Linked DNA regions of Oryzias latipes. The protein of the gene in region 1 interacts with the protein of each later gene in a pairwise test. Links are inferred from orthologs where the notes say so. Each region holds a gene or a part of one and is shown in the gene's direction. Other genes may lie near its edges.

Evidence for each region.
Region 2: the proteins of MAGUK p55 subfamily member 2 (region 1) and lin7a interact in binary tests that used the Homo sapiens proteins (3 or more experiments, as listed by UniProt). The two-hybrid records come from large-scale screens. The link is inferred for Oryzias latipes from reciprocal best matches to the Homo sapiens genes MPP2 and LIN7A.

The regions. Positions count from the first base shown.
Region 1 is NC_019877.2:4,338,481-4,341,925, reverse strand, and holds the end of MAGUK p55 subfamily member 2, read left to right. Parts: intron 1-489; coding exon 490-666; 3' UTR 667-2,813; downstream 2,814-3,445. UniProt on the Homo sapiens protein: Postsynaptic MAGUK scaffold protein that links CADM1 cell adhesion molecules to core components of the postsynaptic density. In CA1 pyramidal neurons, required for synaptic KCNN2-containing channel function and long-term potentiation expression.
Region 2 is NC_019881.2:19,160,942-19,164,765, forward strand, and holds part of lin7a (protein lin-7 homolog A), read left to right. Parts: intron 1-2,455; coding exon 2,456-2,665; intron 2,666-2,868; coding exon 2,869-3,080; coding exon of another isoform or gene 3,081-3,084; intron 3,085-3,824. UniProt on the Homo sapiens protein: Plays a role in establishing and maintaining the asymmetric distribution of channels and receptors at the plasma membrane of polarized cells.

The DNA.
Region 1 (3,445 bases):
ATCTAAGGGCTCTGGAAGTTCCGTAAGCTAAAAGCAAGTCTGATATAAAAGAAGGACCAAGGCCATGGACAGTCTAAAAAACTATTAAAAGAATCTTAAAATCAATCCCCAGTTCAAGTCCCGGCTGGGGGACATGAACCAGAACATCAATGGGGGACTTTTCTGTGTGGAGTTTGCATGTTCTCCCCGTGTATGCGTGGGTTTTCTCCGGGAACTCCGGCTTCCTCCCACCGTCCAAAAACATGCTTCATAGGTTAATTGGCAACTCTAAATTGTCCATAGGTGTGAGAGTGAATGGGTGTGTGATTGTGGACACTCTACCCTGCGACAGAATGGCGACCTTTCCAGGGCATACCCTGCCTTCGCCCACAAGTGGCCGGGATAGGCTCCAGGAGCCCCGTGACCCCGAAAGGGAGAAAACGGAATAGAAAATGAATGAATGAATATTTGCCTTTTTTTAAATGTTTTTCTTCCAACTACTCCTTACAGGACTCTGAGCTAAAGAGGACAGTGGACGAGAGCGAGCGCATTAAGAGAGCTTACGGACATTACTTCGACCTTTGCATTGTGAACGACGGTCTGGAAACGGCGTTTCGCGGTCTGCGGTCGGCACTGGAGAAGCTGACGATGGAGCATCAGTGGGTCCCGGTCAGCTGGGTGTTCTGAAAGCCCCCAAAGAGCTCACCAGCAAAGTGAATCAGATGAGAGGACGATTTGTTCCTGGGGAGGGGGGGAGTCTCCTCGCTGCAATCTGTGGGGGAGCCGAGCATCGCAATCCTGTGCAAACGACCAGCCTCATGTAGAGCTTTTTTGTACAAACTTCATCTGTTGACCTAATGTCAAGTTGTATTTAATTTTACAGAAACTGAATTATTCCGTGGATTATCAGGTGTGGTGCAATAGTGAGAGTGTGATCGTCAGTAGGTTTTGCAGGTTTCTGGGAGGTCATCTTTAGCCTTTATAGTGTGACGTTTACATCTGATCAGTAGGGCTGAGTGTGAGAAGACACCAAATGTGGCATTGTATTTTTTAAAGCTGTTGTATGATTTTGTGCGTTTGGACATGTGCTTAATCGTGTGTCACTGCTGATTTGAAAGCTGACCAGCAATAGAGAACTGAAGATACATGCAATACATATACGGAAACACAAAGAAGAGCCGCCTGTCGGCACATTTCTGACAAATCAGTTTGTTGCAAATGAGCGTTTCTGTCTTTGCAAAAGATTCATGTTTTTGTTTGGATCATTCGTAGCAACAATGCTACGTTCACACCCGGCGTGTGACGCGCGTTTAGCATACGGTGTTCACTCTGGACTGTCGCTACTCGATACCAGCGCACAGTAGGAAGAGGTTTGGTTGAAATGTCGATGCAGGGCAAATCTCTTTCACAGTTCTATTCTGATGCGAAAGACTTTGAAAGACAAACTGCAATCATTAATTTCTCCTCCATAATCAAATTGATTGGCACTCCTGTGAATCAAAAGCAACGCCATCTACATGTCACTACCAAGTCTGAGTCCCTGATTGGTCAAAGTTCAAATGGTTTAACTTTCAACACGCGTTCAATGGCTGCGTGTTTTGTACGTAGACTCTTTAAAACGTGGGTAGTGAGGCATGAACATGAGTCTTGAAGTCCGAAACATGTACATAGACATGTACGTGTAACGATTAATTTGACCAAAAATTTGATTCATATCATAATTTGTGGTTGCTAATGCAATTTATAGCCCATTTTGGTTCCTTTTGAACGATCCGATTCTCTGACCTAAAATCCATCCAGGACATTTTAGCCATAAATTCAACCAGTGTGACTCCGAGACAAATAAGTGGTACTGAACAGCGCAGGCGAAGTTTAGCAGATTCCTTTGTATTTCTTGCAAGAGAATCAAGTGCAAATGAAATATGTGTACAAACAAGTAAACAAGAACCATCAACAAATCCATTCACATTTTATTTTCATAAAGTTTTTGTTTTTCCACATCAAATTCATCCCAAGGGAAAATATTAAAACATTCTACTACTCTGTACATATCTTTACTAAATTCAAAGTGTTTCCACACACATGTTGGACTGTAATGGTGGACAAATCATTTTTGTTCCTGTCATCACATGTGTTGTCCGCTGAGATGCACTATAGTAAAATAAACCAATCATATCCCAATCCAAATGGCATTTTCAGTTATCGTTTTAGCTCATTTTGAAGCGATTTTTATTTTTTATTCATTTATTTTTCGTATTAATGGTTTAGGCCGATTCGATTAAAACTTGCCTCAAACAGATCGATCTTGTTAGAGCATAAGAATAGAAATCAATTCATCGAATAGTCTTTACACCCCTAATATAGACATGGATTAACATACACGTTTCATTGAAAGTGCTTGCTTGAACGTGCGTCGCAAAGACCGGTGTGAACATAGCTTAAGACGTTTCAGAGCTCCAACAGAAAAAAGGTGAGGGAAACGAATCCATTCCAACATTCCGATTGTTTGTTTAGTTACTCTGATGTACTAAAACACTTCTGGTGGCTTGTAACTTCTGCTTACTTTTGCCTTAACACGTTTCAGAAGCCAAGGAAACTCTCCGAATAGAACATTTCACCTCCTTCGATGTACCTTCAAAAACTCTGGCAACTCATTCAGTAATTATTGAAGCTTCCTTTCCAACCGTAAGTACTGTACCGTAAGAAAGAGTGTTTAGTAAAACATGAGGAAACCCGTTGGTGCTTCGATGCTTCTGCTGGCGCGTCGATGCATTTGGACGACAACTCTGTAGTTTTGACCTCCATTTGAAAACATTAAAATTTTTCAGAATATCTTTTTACTTTTATTTATTTCTTCACTGCGCTGACATTTTTTTGAGAAGGCACAAGGAAACGGTACGCAATAACTTTGTTGGGTTCATCCAAACACTGATTTGCGTGACCTCTAGGTGTTCCAGTGGTGATTGTGACTGACGGGCGCTGAGGGCGGAGTCAGGGGAGGAGGCTCTCTGGGCGTCCTCCATCCATTAGGCTGCATCACAGGACACGTGTCATAGGGAGGAGGTGGGCTTCTTCTCCAAATGTCTGTCAGCTTAGGGTCATACTAGTGGAAGAAAACATTTTGAAGTTATTTTTATCAAATTTGGGTAAAAGGGTAAGAATTTTTTAAATAATGCATTACAAACCACTGAAGCAAAGACTGTGCTGTGAAAGGAATTTTCTTCTTTTTTTTTGTTGTTTAATCATTTGTAATCTTTGAATTTTTCAGAAAATTTACCAGATTTATTTTGAATTTGCTTTCATGAAATAGAACGCTCTGTGTTTTTTGCCTTGAAACCTATACATTTGATTTTTTTCAAACACTTTTAAACACTTACACCTCTACAGTTACGTTTTCTTTGACATTTTTTAGCTGACATTTTTTCAATGTAGTTAAATTGGAAGTTTCCCAGCTTGAAAGAATGGC
Region 2 (3,824 bases), on another chromosome or scaffold:
AATAAGCCGCAGGGCTGTAAGCGCAGGAAAAAAGTAGCGGCTTGTAGTCCGGAAATTACGGTAAGTTGGGGTGTGCTAATGCTACCATTAAAGAGAAGCAGGGCTAATTCTGACAAAGTTTGAGACTAATGCTGTGTTCACACTAAATGTGACCTGCGCAGCCAATTTGTGTCTGCCGCCTCTGTTTCGATGCGCGTAACTTCGCTGCTGGACGCTTGTCCAAAAGTATGTTCATTAGTGTGCCTCTCCCGGCATGTGTGGGAGGAGCTACCGTCAAAAGTATTTAACCTCACTGCTAAATTGAGGATACAGATGAAGTCGAGAGATCAGGTTTATTTATTTTGAAGAGCTCTACAAAAGCGTCTTTGTGTCTTGGTTCAAATGGTCATTGAAAATTCTCCAGTTCAGTGACTTTCACCATCTACTGCTGGAGCGGTGTCTGAAATACAGTGACTTTCAGCGGTACTTCTGTCTCTCTGTGACCCAGTTTAACGACTTGTTTTCCCACATTAGTCCAAGGAAAGAAAAAAAATTTGAGTGACCTTTTCATTGTATCAGGAGAAATAAGAAAAATATTAAAGTTCAGGAAGAAAAAAAACCCATCAACAATCAGATTCTCCTCCATGTTGGGTTTGGACTCCACCCAATATTTACATCATTAACATGAAACTGCCCAAAGCCAAGTTCGTGATTGGTTGACGTGGTTTGAATTTATTGACAAAGTTTAAATATTTCAACTCTAGAAAAATCCAAATTTTCGGCATGTCGTGTTGCTGCACTCCCAGAAATACGCAACCGCTAGAGAATAGCTCTACGCCCGGCGCTAAAAGTGTACCGAAAGGCCTCTCATAGGGGCTGTGCATTGAAAAAAACATTGAAACTGGATGCCCCTACTGCGTTGAAGAGTTACAGTAGTGTTAAAGGGTTAAACAAGCTGTAGTAGATACTCTACATGTAAATGCCTTTATATTGTTTTGACGAATATTTATATACATGTATATTCTCATTTTCTATTAACTTGGTTTTTATTCATTAGGGGGTTAAGAATTGCTCAGTCAGGTTTCTAAACATGAAAATGTCTTATCCACACATTTCCATCAGCTCTCAAATACCAGCTGATAATAAACAGGCTTTGATAAGCCAGGCTTGTAGGTACAGTGTCATATCTACCAATTATCCTGCAGCAAAGCCACCATTTATAAGCCCTCCTGTGTCTGAGAGGCGCCTACCATCTGCCTAATTTTCGTTTTTGTTTGCTGAAGCACAGATAAAGTTGTGAAGGTGGAGAGGCCCGGGAGGCGGTGGCATGCGTGCTGTTGAGCTGCCTTCACAGCGGGACAGAAATGGCAAAAGCAAAGCAGCAAGGGCAGAGGGTGCAGACAGAAAAAAATGGAGGGATGCATTGGTATATATACACAGATATATACTTGGAAAAGAAGAACAGAAAATGTTAAAGCGTGCCATCTGCATGGTACAGAATGATGAAAGGCACCTGTGGATTTGTCAGTGAGAACAGTGTTTCCTCCTCTTGTTCCTCAGTCATTAGCCTTCCTAAGCACAGTTAACACGCTCATGGGGGCTTTGTTCTGACAGCAGAGGGCTATTGCTTCAAAGAAACCCCACAGCTGGTGGAAATTCATGAGGCGACAGGCTGCTCCTCTGCAGTGAACTTGGATGTGATAATCCATATGCTCAGAAAGAATCGGAGTCCTCACATAGCAACTACATCTCTTCACTTTGCTAAAATGAGATGCTGCAAACTCTGATTCACTGTCACTGTGTAATGCTGCTGGATAAAGGTCTTCTATTGCTTTTAGTCTGATTGCATTGAATGAGATGAGGAGATTCTAAAGAGTAAAATTCCACAATGAACATACATTTTAGTGAACACACAATTACCTAAACGCAGATGCCTTCTCAGGTTCCTTCTCACCCTAGCAAAATGTGCATTAGTTTGTGTATATGTGTGGGTTTCCATAGACGTGTATAAAAATGTGTGCGGTCAATAGTAACATGAGAGCTTTTTTGTGTTTGTGCAGATGTTACGGTGTGTGTATGTGCGTGCGTGCATCCGTGCGTGCGTACTTGAGCAAAAAAAAACAAAAAAAGGATCAGCCGTTTGGTAAATATTTGCATGTGTTAGTGATGATAACCCCTGTAACTTTTGAAACCCCTTTTTTTTCCTTTTGCTGTTTTATGTCCTTGGGATTGATGGGATTGATGATGAAAAGGCCATAAGTGAGAGTATTGATAACTAAAGAGACTCTATGAGGGCTTAACTGCCAAAAAGCAAATCATTTGATACGATCCAAGAAAAGAAAACTAAAAACACTAAACCCCTGTGAGAAACTGACCTTAGACCAACAAAGTTTAGAAAACTTGAGTATATTTACTGCTTTAACCTCACAACTGTTGGTTTCCAGCCGTCTCTTACCCTCTGTTCCTCTGCATTCAGGCCACAGTCGCAGCCTTCGCAGCAAGCGAAGGTCACTCTCATCCTCGGGTGGTGGAGCTACCCAAGACGGAGGAAGGGCTGGGCTTTAACGTAATGGGTGGCAAGGAGCAAAACTCCCCGATTTACATCTCACGCATTATCCCAGGGGGCGTAGCTGAAAGGCATGGTGGCCTGAAGCGTGGCGATCAGCTTTTGTCTGTCAATGGGGTGGTAAGTTTGACCTTATCGGTTGTTTAAACCCTTTTAGGAAAGGGCAATAAACCTAAAAATAAGGAACTGCACGTTCTTTGGTTTAAAAGACATTTGGAAAACTTGACTTCTTGTCAAAATGTTGTTCCGCCCCTTGAGGGGTTTCTCAACGCTGAAAGTTTCATAAGAATTCCCACTTTTCTTCACCTCTGTGGCCCCTGCAGAGTGTCGAAGGAGAACATCACGAAAAGGCGGTGGAGCTGCTGAAAGCGGCCAAAGACACCGTGAAGCTGGTGGTTCGATACACCCCCAAGGTGCTGGAGGAGATGGAGGCTCGCTTTGAGAAGCTCCGCACGGCGCGGCGGCGTCAGCAGCAGCAGCTCCTGATGCAGCAGCAGCAGCAACAGAACCTGAGCTCACAGCAGAATCACATGTCGTAGGTGAGGCGCTTCATTGTCTTACGGGTGGTGGGAGGGATGGGGGGCAGAAATAAACATGAGTACATTTGTGTAAATATAGTATACACCATCAATGTTCTGTATATTCCATGTACTTAACATTTCTTAACACATAAATATTGAAAATGGAAGGACCTGCAGGTTCTGTAGTTCCTTATAAAATGCTCCCACCATGTTCTGATTTAAATACAAGCTCTTTCTTAAATACAAATACTTTACACCTCCAAAGCGCAGCCTGAAACATCGCTGGTGTTTTCTGGAGCAGCCAAAGTCCTTTGTGAGAAAACACTTCTACTCCCCGTTTGTTCTCCCAGTGATTCCGTTGTAAGGCTTGTGAATTATTCAAGCTGAAACTGATTACATCTGTGGCTCCAGCTCTGCAGGTGCATGGATAAGCAGGCACAGCCACGAATGTTGCCGTTTGCCAGCTGAAGCTGGATGCAGTGCAAATTTATAATGAAGCTCCGCACTGTCAGTCAAAAGTAAGCCGAACTTGGGGGTATGCAACCCCAAAAAATAAAAAACCCTGACAGGCTTCAGTAGTAGAGCCGACAAAATCGTGCAACCATTAAGCAAAGTCACACGGTCTGGTACCAAATGCTGTGCAGACGTTTTGAATTGTTCAACTGTTTCCCGGACATATTTGATTCCGCCGTTTGTCCAAGATCTCTGTGTATTCGTTGCTTTGAAGCTAAAATCCCCCAAGCATATCTGTTGCCTTG